Cricetulus griseus: one gene and its partners. The protein of the gene in region 2 purifies or fractionates together with the protein of the main gene of each other region. This does not show direct contact. Links are inferred from orthologs where the notes say so. Each region holds a gene or a part of one and is shown on either strand. Other genes may lie near its edges. The genes, in order: Ddx17, Ewsr1 and Dhx9.

What was found.
Region 1: the proteins of Ewsr1 (region 2) and Ddx17 purify together in Homo sapiens (affinity purification with mass spectrometry; 3 studies listed by BioGRID, with this or other methods). This does not show direct contact. The link is inferred for Cricetulus griseus from reciprocal best matches to the Homo sapiens genes EWSR1 and DDX17.
Region 3: the proteins of Ewsr1 (region 2) and Dhx9 purify together in Homo sapiens (affinity purification with mass spectrometry; 3 studies listed by BioGRID, with this or other methods). This does not show direct contact. The link is inferred for Cricetulus griseus from reciprocal best matches to the Homo sapiens genes EWSR1 and DHX9.

What each region holds. Positions count from the first base shown.
Region 1 is NC_048595.1:376,711,574-376,715,224, forward strand, and holds part of Ddx17 (probable ATP-dependent RNA helicase DDX17), read right to left. Parts: coding exon 3,556-3,651; intron 2,135-3,555; coding exon 2,035-2,134; intron 1,164-2,034; coding exon 1,030-1,163; intron 467-1,029; coding exon 401-466; intron 1-400. UniProt on the Homo sapiens protein: As an RNA helicase, unwinds RNA and alters RNA structures through ATP binding and hydrolysis.
Region 2 is NW_023276807.1:99,813,272-99,816,922, reverse strand, and holds part of Ewsr1 (RNA-binding protein EWS), read right to left. Parts: coding exon 3,559-3,651; intron 1,650-3,558; coding exon 1,438-1,649; intron 476-1,437; coding exon 295-475; intron 1-294. UniProt on the Homo sapiens protein: Binds to ssRNA containing the consensus sequence 5'-AGGUAA-3'. Might normally function as a transcriptional repressor. EWS-fusion-proteins (EFPS) may play a role in the tumorigenic process.
Region 3 is NC_048598.1:38,204,726-38,208,376, reverse strand, and holds part of Dhx9 (ATP-dependent RNA helicase A), read right to left. Parts: coding exon 3,647-3,651; intron 1,774-3,646; coding exon 1,560-1,773; intron 1,440-1,559; coding exon 1,345-1,439; intron 1,099-1,344; coding exon 1,025-1,098; intron 1-1,024. UniProt on the Homo sapiens protein: Multifunctional ATP-dependent nucleic acid helicase that unwinds DNA and RNA in a 3' to 5' direction and that plays important roles in many processes, such as DNA replication, transcriptional activation, post-transcriptional RNA regulation, mRNA translation and RNA-mediated gene silencing.

The DNA of each region.
Region 1 (3,651 bases), on a different chromosome or scaffold from region 2:
TTCAATTCCTAACAACCACACTGTATATAACAACTGTCTGTAACTCCACTTCCAGGGGATTAAATGCCCTCTTCTGGTCTCCATGGCACCAAACACTCCCCAACCCCCGGGGAAAACACCCATAAACGTTTTTTTTTTTGTTTTTTGAAGATAGGGTTTCTCTGCGCAGCTTTGGAGTCTATCCTGGCACTTGCTCTGGAGACCAGGCTGGCTTTGAACTCACAGAGATCTGCCTGCCTCTGCCTCCCAAGTGCTGGGATTAAAGGCATGCACCACCAACACCCGGCTCCATAATTTTTTTTTTAAAAAAGTAATTAAATTGGGTTTTAGGCACAGTGCCTAAAACAACTTATCATTCAATGTAGTTATTTTTAAAAATTATAAATTGTAGCACACTTACAATTGGACCATCTCCTCTTTCCAAGTATGGCTGGTGGTTTATATGAACAATCGCAGGCAGCAAATACTGAGGAGGAACAAGAATCAAAAATGTCATAAAAACCCAAGCCATTATCGTAACGATTCTAATTTAAATCAGTAATTAACAATGCCCTAATAGAAAGTGAGAAAACTAGAACATATTACCACATTCAAGTACAATGTAAACATACAGCTAAAATACTGAACATATAGTATTTTATTTTTTGGCCTTCTTGGGACAGTGTCTAACTATGTAGCTCTGGCTACCCTGGAACTTCACTGCATAGATCAAACTGGCTTCCAACTCAAAGGTCCATCTGCCTGTCTCTGCCTCCCAAGTACAGTCATTAAAGGTGTGCCCCACCATGCCCAGCTTTCACACAGTATTTTAACTGTGAGTCTAAGAACTGAGAAAATGTGAGCTGGGTATGATAGCTTACAACTTTAATCCCAGCCCTTGGGAGGCAGTAGGGACAGGCAGTTCTCTGGTTGGAGCTACCCGGTGAAACCCTATGGGGGGATGGGGGCGGGCAACATGGGACCAGAGAAAATGTAAGAAAACTAGGCTAATAAAGTAAGTTACTACAATGTCAAAGACTTGGTACCTACCGCCAATGTCTTCCCAGAACCAGTCTGTGCAATGCCAACCATATCCCGGCCACTAAGAGCCAAAGGAAATCCCTGGCACTGAATGGGAGTTGGTTCTGTAAAATGCTGATCCATCAGCACATCCATCACATACTCTGAAAAAAAGTGAATGCATTATTACTTTTACTAGCAAAACTAAGGACACTCATGAAGTCTTAAAAGTAGCAGTTAAGACTAGCAGTGGTGACACATACCTTTGGTCTTGAAATCCAAAAAAGTGGCAGTTACTTAATTTAAGACTTACTTGAATTTATCAAAAACTCAATGTCTTGTCAGTTCACTACTACCTTTGAGAACTACCATCCTAATTTAGCTAACAGCACAGGCCCAAGAGTCACTTACTGTTCCCAAAGTTCATACTATATCATAGAAGCAGTATTTGGCTGCTGTGTAAAACACCAAGGGCAAAATACCAGTGTACGTATTGGCATTAAAAGAAATGCAGAAACTGGGTAGTGGTGAAGCACACCAGCATTTGGGAGGCAGAGACAGGTGATCTCTTTTGAGTTCAAAGCCAGAGCTGTTACACAGAGAAACCCTGTCTCAAAAACAAAACAAAACAAGCCCAAAGCTGAGATGGCTCAGCTGTCAATAGTTCTTGCAGAATGAGTTTGTGAAGATCGGAGGAGAGCTTGGTGGAGCGGGCTTTCTCCTTTCTTGTTTATATGGGTTCCAAAGTCAGGACTTTCACCAATTGAGCCATTCTCATTCACACACACCCCACCCCCACCCCATTGGTTTCTCTGTGTAGCCCTGGATGTCCTGGAACTCACTCTGTAGACCAGGCTGGCCTCAAACTCAGGAGATCTGCCTGCTAAGTGCTAGAATTAAAGGTGTGAGCAATCACCGTCTGTCTACTACTATCTTTCCTTTATAAAAGGTTTCTTTTTGTGTTTCAACAAAATCCCAAGCCTTTCAAAACCTTCAAGCAACCTACCACTTAATGTAGGATTAAAGAACACTTACGTGGGAAATTAGCATGATGGAAGGCAAAGACAGGTTTTGGACAAACATCTCCCCCTCTCACTGTAATCTCTTTCTTTCGCCGCAGCTCATCAACTTCATACTATTGGGGGGGGGGGGGAAGAAAGACAATAAAAGCTCTTTTCAATTTAAAAGCTTTATTATCACACAATGATAAATATGAATACTTTTTACACAAGTTCAAGTTTGTGATGCACATGAGCAAAAGGCTCCATTTTCCATAGGAGAAAAACCTCTCAAGAGTAATTCCTAGCCAGGATAGGTAGTACTGTGTAATCCCAGTACAGCAGCAGAAGGATCAGCTCAAGTTCAAAGCTAACCATATCTACAAAACAATTCCAGACCAGTCAGGGTTACTTAGTGAGACAGTTTACTACAAACAGCTAACTTCTACTTAAAACTAGGAAGAGAATATGTGGAACTTGGGTCCAAATGCTCTTTCCATCATATAATTTTTCTGGACTAGCAATGATTTTCTGGGTAGAATACACTATCAGGTGTTAAAAGCACAAAGTTAATTTATTTTAAAAACTCATTTTATGAGGGTGTAGCTCAATGGTAGAGTTTAAGCTTTACAAGCACGTGGTGCTAGGTTTGAGCTCAGCACCGCTAAAAGAAAATTAGCTCAATGATTGATAACTTGCCTTTATGAACAAAGGTCAGGGTTTGACTGAAGAATATCACAAACCAAGTATGCCTACCCGTGCCTGAAAGTAACCCTGGCATTCATAAGCTGAAGTAGCAGGATAGCAAGTTAAAGGCCAGCCTAGAACTACATGGTGAGACCATACCACAAATAGAATAGTTTTAGCACATAAGAATCAAAACAAAATCCAAAGGTAAGCCAGCCACAGTGGTGTTTTTTAATCCCAGCATTCAGATGCAGGTGGATCTGAGTCTGGGGCCAGCTTGGCTACATAGTAGGTTCCAGGCCAGAGCTACAAATCAAGATCCTGTCTCAAAAAAAAAAAAAAAAAAAGAAAAGAAAAAGAAAACAAAACAACAACAAAAAACATAAACAAAAAACTTTAAAATACATTAAAATGAGCCGAGTGGTGGTGGCAACCAACTACCTTTCTTCCCATGGCTTGGGAGGCAGAGGCAGGAGACCTACAGAGTGAGTTGTTCCATCCAGGATAACAGTGACTATACAGAGAAACCATGTCTCAAAGAAGCAACAAGATAACAAACAAAAAACACAACACTGCCAGGCAGTGGTGGTGCACACCTTTAATCTCAGCACTTGGGGGGGGAAGAGGCAGGAAGATCTCATTAAGTACAAGGCCAGCCTGGTCTACAAAGTGAGTTCCAGGACAGCTAGGGCTGTTACACAGAGGAGCCCCCCCCCAATACAATACATGACAAAAAACAAACAAAAAACAAAAACACCACACCCCAAAGAGAAAACAAAAGACCTACAACATATTAAAAAGATCTGCCCTAATCTAAAATAAAATACACAAGCTGCTTTACACACCCCTACTCACCACCCCCCCTTCTTACCGGAGTCAATCTTGCTACTTCTGGATGTTCCACATAAAAATTCTTCTCAAACTTGGGGAGTTCACTCAAATCCCACTTCTTTTTACGTAACCGCTC
Region 2 (3,651 bases):
CCATCCCAAGTCTATTACCCAAAGAGGTTCTCACCTCTGAACACCATGAAGGGGACTGAAAGCTCTAGTTTCAAAGCCATTCTTTGCTCACCCCAACCCAACAAAGGCTACTGGCAGGGAAAAAAGCAAACTGCCACTTATATGACATTTCCATGTTTTAGAAGATAGCTTGACCTCAACAGATTGTCCATGGAAATGTGGAATAAATTTCTTATGTCTTTCAGTCCCTTCTTCCCATTGAAAATCCTATGGATGAAGCAAAATTAGGTAAAAGGAGAAAAGGTTTGCTCTTACCCCATTCCACCGCGTCCTCCTCCCCGCCCACCTCTGCTCATGCCTCCACGATCAAATCCCCCTCTTCCCCTGCCCCGGTTATCAGGGCCACTCATGCTCCGGTTCTCTCCTGGTCCGGAAAATCCTCCAGACTCCTGCCCATAAACACCCATGCTACTGGGGTGGTCCTGTCGGAATGAACCTGAGGAAAGAGTCACATCTGTAAGCCATGGACCACATTTACACTACTGCCTGACATCCTTTCTCTTGGAATCATGAAGTTCTCAACTGTAAGCGACTGTGTATGTACTAAGCTGAAGGCTGCCTTAAAGAACAATTGGTTCATCAGGGCTAACACAGCCTCGTATAGCCAGACTATAATAAACTACTTCCAAAGGGAAAAGATGCCCTGGAAAAAATACATTCATAAGTTTGTGTGTCCAGGATGTCCCCAAAAGCAGTTTCTTTGCCCTACCTTCCAGAAACAAAAGTAGACCCAGGTTTTCTAAATCTCTGACATGCTAAGGGCTGAGATATAGCAAGGAGCCTTAGTCATTCCAGTTCAAAAAAAAAAAAAGCACACAGATGAAATAAAAAAGGACAGCCAGGGTTACACAGAGAAACCCTGCCCCCCAAACCAAACCAAACCAACCAACCAAAAAGCAAAAATTGAGGCAGAAATTAAATAGTAAACTAATATACTTCAGGGGTTTTAGTTACTTCTCTAATTTACTTATATGTAAATATAAGCACTGGGGCTTCATGGCAGAACTTATGCTAAGACCCTGGGCTCAATCCCCAGCAGAAAACAAAAATCAGTTCTACCCCCATCAACTGTAAAAGTTTTAAAAATACCCCCAAACAGTTGTCTGTAACAACTTACTCCCTCTGCTTAATGGATTCACACAAAATCAAAGCACAGAGTTTTTACTTGGCTATCAGAAACCACAGTAGCCCTCAATAGGTCCTAAAGAATGCCAGCCCTATCCACTGCCGAGTACCCACCCCATTGACTGAATCCCCTACTGGGGCATTCAGACTGTTGTCCAGGATGTTATGCCTCATACTTGTATCCTGGAAGCAAACAGTGGTAACAAGCCCTCCCCGTTTTCAGACTCTCCAAGCACAACCACTAATACTTGGTTATCTCTCTTAGCAACTCACTCTGCTGCCCGTAGCTGCTGCTCTGTTGACTATATTGACTTGGAGCCTGGTTGTAGGATCCAGTCTGAGGGGGGTAACTAGTGGGAGGCTGCTGTCCATAGCTGCTTTGTTGACCATAGCTACTCTGCTGTCCATAGCTGCTCGGCTGTCCATAGGTGTTCTGCTGAGAGTAACTGCTCTGATCGTAACTAGTCGGCTGTGAAGAGGAGTAGCTGAAAGGGAAAAAAAACAAACATGTTTTCAGAAGGAAAAAAAGCACATCATTTCACCCAAGACCCCCAAATACTAGACATTCATGGGTATCGTAACAGCCACTTTCTTTTTTCTATCATTGAGAGGGGTCTCACTATTTGTAGCCCAGGCTGTTCTTTCATCTGCACACAACTCTCTTGCCCTAGCTTCCTGAGTGCTGGATTAAAGGCATACATCACTGTATCTGGCCAAGGCACCATTTTTGTATTTATAATAACAAAGCTTTAAATGGAAGAGAGGAAAAAAAAAAAAACCCGCATGTATACTCAGAGCTGCAGTTTAGAGCTCCCATTTAAAATGTTTATTTTCAACTATGTTTAAGTAAATCCAGGAATTCAGATGGACAGAATATGTACACGTGCACTTAGAGACAACTAATACAGTGAAAAATGACACTGAAAGGACAAGTGAGGTGTTTACTTCCAAGAATGTCTTCCTTTCTTTTTGCAGCACCAAGGGTCCAAACTAGACCTTCACACACTATCAAGTGTTCTACTCCAGTCATCTAATAAGTTAAGTGATGACTGATTTTCTGAGGCATGGCTATTGGTAATACAGTGCGCACATATATGTCACTCCCCAAATGACAGTTTTTCTTTCAGACTCAAAATGGCTTTGCTAATGTTTCAAACTTTCAAACATCCTTAGAAATCTAGGAATAAGACAAGACAAGGAAATGTTAGAATGCTGTATAAAAGATGCTAGGTTTCTGTGAAACTATCTAGCAGGTAATCTAAGTATCTACATAAACTATTAAAAATAAAACTTAGCTGGGTGGTGGGGGTGCATGCCTTTAATCCCAGCACTCAGAAGGCAGAGGCAGGTGGATCTCTGAGTTCAAGGCCAGCTTGATCTACAGAGCAAATTCCAGAAGAGCCAGGGCTACACAGAGAAAGGCTGTCTAGGAAAAAATAAAAGCAAAAACCAAAATAAAGACTTTCAATGAACCATAAATATGTGCAACTAAACTATTTGTTATACCTCTCCACAAATGTTAAAACCCAACAGGTATGGGTCTGCTCTCCAAGGACAGTTCCCTGTCCACTTTTTTTTTTTTTTTTTTGGAAGGGGGGACTGGTTTTGAGACAGGGTTTCTCTGTAGCTTTGGAGGCTGTCCTAGAACTAGCTCTTGTAGACCAGGCTGGACTAAAACTCACAGAGATCCGCCTGCCTCTGCCTCCCAAGTGCTGGGATTAAAGGTGTGGGCCACCCACGCAAGGCCAACCCTGACCACTTTTGTTTCTAGTTACAAGCAATGTGTTAAACCATTAAACAGATAATCAGGAACTATTTTAGCAAATTAAACTAACCTTTAAAGACACAACCCTGTCAACTGGTACTTACTTCAAATGAGAAAATCTGCAGTATCCCTTATTTTAAAGAAACCAAAATTGGACATTGTAACTATGATGGCTAATTTAAGACAGAATATGAAGAACAACAGAGCTTGAGCTGGAGTAGTTCAGAGGTAGAGGATCTGCCTAGTAATGAACAAAACAAAACCCTGGATTCCCCAGGCACTGCAATGGGTGGTAGGGAGGAAAGTCTTGTCCCTACTTTACCCATGGTGATTGCATTTGAGAAGACAGTTTCTGTGGTTCTGTGAAGATGGTGTCAAACACTCCTTTTTCTTATACTTCTAATTACAGGAGCAAAAATAAGTTTTGGTCAGTATTTAGACAGCTCCATGACACTACTATGGAAATCTAAGACTGAGATCTGAATATTAACTATATATATGGTCAAGAATAGCTATGGGAGAGTCAGAAAACAAATCTTACCCAAGGAAGCCAATGCTAGCTGGTCAACAACCCAAAACCAAATCCCTGTCTTGTTATATTACTCACTGGCCACAAAGGAGAGACTGACCTGGTAGGAGGATAGGATGGAGGCGCGGTGACTGGCTGCATGGGGTAGCTCCCAGGTACCTGGGGGTAACTGTAGTTACTCTGTCCATATCCT
Region 3 (3,651 bases), on a different chromosome or scaffold from region 2:
AGGGTTTTTTTTTTTTTAGGGGAAAAGGATTGTAAAAGGGGGAAAGGGGAAGGAAGAGACTCACCTTCAGGGACTGTTGCAGTGGGAGAGAGTAAAAAGAGGTGGGGGAGAAAGAGAGAGTGGGAGATGGGGAGGGCCATTTTAATAAGAGGGGACATATCGAATAGGCACAGGTGATGTTCTTAGCATCATCCACTGAGGGTGTATCTTGTCAGAACTCCAATGACAGGTCAGTACAAATGCCTAAATACTAACAGCCAGCTCTAAGCAGGCTTTCTTTACAGCCCTCTACAAAATTGCTGGGCTCTACCTATAGACCAAGGCTCAATTATAGGTATAAGTTTTTAGTTTTTGAGGCTGGGTTGCACTATTTAAGCAAGATTGACAGATGCCGTTAATACCAGGCTGCAGTGTTCTAACTTCTTAAAGGAATGTTTTTCGAGTAGACTACTTGTCTCATGCTAAGTAATTGCTGTATTTATATACAAAATGAGCATAAAAGGTTCATTGTGGAAACAACTAATGAATAAATAAGTAAATCCTTTGACATGAAGTCAGAAGTTAGTGATAAACTTTGGCTGTCTGTACTCTGAAATCACACATGGCATTTGTGTGGGTATAAAAGCGTAAACCTTGGTAAGTTAAAGTCTAGGTGTGATGGCGGAAGCTGCAGTACAGTAACCCCAGTACTTGAATAAGAAAAACCTCAAGTCAGAGGTGATCCTGGACTACAGTCAAATAGCCTTAAGAGAAACACAATTAGGGGCTGGTCAGTGGGGGTATGTATTATAGAAGACCTGAGGACCAGTTCTCAGCACCACAGGGCAGCTCACACATCTGCAATCCCAATTCTTTGGTACCTTATACACTCTTCTAGCCTCCAAGGCTACCAGGCACACAACTAGTACAGACATAACACTTGACACACATAAAACCTCATTAAAAAGAAAATTTAACAAAAGGTTAATTGATAAAGTTTGTCAGCTGCTAATACACTCAAAAGACTAATTCCCTAGGAACTTACTTGCAGGAGTCAATAACATAAACAACATCATTTATGGTGATGCTTGTTTCAGCAATATTTGTGGACAAAATAACCTGCAAAAAGAAAAATTAAAAGAAAAATTACACCACAGAAAACATGCCACTTATGAACACACCAATGTTCAGAGAATCATTCAACCACACAATACAAGGCATTTCAGGAACAGGAGTAAAAAGAAAAGTCTCTCAAGCTAAGAAAGTGATATATATATTATATATATATATATATATATATATATATATTATATATATTCTAGCTCTCTGAATGTTTATCTGATCTCATTGAAACGCCTTCTTTACCTTGGTTACTCCATCTGGTACTGGATCAAACACTTTACGCTGTTCCTCCCGAGGAATCTGAGAATGCAGAGGTAGAATCTGATACCGATGACTTCCTACAATACAGAAAGGATAAGAAGTAAGACCAAGTTAAAATACTGTTCTCCATTACACATACTCATTGAAACACAGCAACATATTAGCCAGGAAAAAAGTAAAAATATTCATCATCATACCAAAATGTGAATTGTTTTCCAAATGTTTTTGCATAGTATAAATCAAATTCCAGCCAGGCAAAAAGACCAACACAGCTCCAGGAACATTAAGGGTTTCGATGTACTTAAGGAGAGCTTCAATGAGTTCAAAAGGAGTTTCCTTTTCATTCAATTGGGACATGCTCAACTTTGTTTCTGGCCCATATTCATCAGCACATATTAGATTGCAATTTGCCTGCAAGAAAGGGGAAAGCAGTTTATTTGCCATAATTATTATAGCTCTAATCTCTTAGACTTAGTTTTTCTAGGCAAGTAATATCTAGCAATATTGCTTATCTCTAGGGTAGAGTCATACTTTCATTAAGAGATCAATACATAAAGTAGAATATTACTTTAACTGTGTAAAGGTATGTTACATTTAATGACACTGTCTCTCCTTGCCTCCTGAAGGCACCTGATTGGTCTAATTAAAAAACTGAATGGCCAATAGCTAGGCAGGCAAGATAATAAATAGGAATCTGAAGAGGAGGAGAAATTGCACAAGAGAGAACACCTAATGTCAGCCAGCCATTCAGACTGAATAGGACATAGAAAAGGAAAGGAAATGTAAAAAGGCCCAATGAAAGCATAAGACAAACAGATCTAAGAGTTAGTAAGAAACAAACAGGAGGTAAAGACAAACATTCCTAACTAATATTTACTAAGTCTCCACATCATGGTTTGGGAGCTGGTTGTCTTCCAAAAGAAAGCCTGGCAGAACAGACATGTGGATCTGTGTTCAAGGTCAGGCTGATCTATGGTAGTGAATTTCAGCCAGGGCTGGTACAGAGAAACCCTGTCTCTAAAAACAGAGTCTGACAAAACAATTTCGGGCATGCAAGTACCCAAGTTCATTTATCACCCACATCAGGTAGCTTATAACCATCTGTAATTTGAGCTCTAGCTCCTGTGTCTCTGGAAGCAAATCTTCAGAAAAAGACTGATATCCATGAATATAGACCGGTCTACCTTTTCACCCCCTGAGATTAAAAGTATGAGCCATTTATGCCTTTAAAACTTTTAAGTATGATTCTGTGATGCTTCTAATTAGTTTCCTAATTTTTTTTGAAAACTACAGAAACTGTCTTCCCGACCTGCTTAGTTTTAATTATTCACATATTCCCCTTTGTAACCCAGTCTAGCTTTGAATATGGAAAATCTTAATTCAAATTCTTATCCTAAGGCCAGGAGTTGGTGGCCCACACCTTTAATCCCAGCACTCGGGAGGCAGAGGCAGGCGGATGTCTTTGAATTCGAGGCCATCCTGGTCTACAGAGGGAGTGCCAGGATAGGCTCCAAAGCCACAGTGAAACCCTGTCAAACTTCTACATTTCTGGTTGTCACAATATAGATCAGTCAGAACTGGTATCTGGGAGTACAAAGGAGAACCACACCACAAGTTCAAAATCTTCCTGGAAGTCAAACCCTGTCTCAACCGAAAACATAACTGGCAAGGAAGTGTAACTGTACCTGCCACAAGTTAGACAACTTGAATGTGATCCCCAGAACCCAGTGTGAATGGAGAAGACACTCCCTGAGAGTTGTCTTCTGATTTCTCTCCCTGGCAAACATCACAAATATGTAAATTTTCTTTTAAATGTATAAATCTAAAAACCATCTATGGTAACATGCTTGTCTACCAAGTGGAAAAACCTGGCTTAAACCAATACCCAGAACAGCAAATTGGGTTGGGACAAGATTCTGTGAGGTTCATTGGCTATAGGCACTGGTACCCTGAAAAGACCAGGAGGCCATAGATAAGTGAGATAAAAAAAACAAAACAACAACAACAAAAAAAAAAACCAAAAAAAAAACCTGAAGTTAGTACTCCGATACACAAAAACACAATACAAAGGACTGAGTCTTTAGAAAAGGCGTTCTAAGACTTTTATGCCAGAAATTATATAACCTGTGTAGTAATAGTCATTAACCTAAGAATATCACAATTAATTTTTAAAGGACAATGCATTGCCAATTAATACTATACTTTAAAGTACTTATTTTCTTCTCCAAATATTCTCACAATGAACATTCCTCATTCCTGTAGATGTGCTGAGGAATCGACTTACATCAT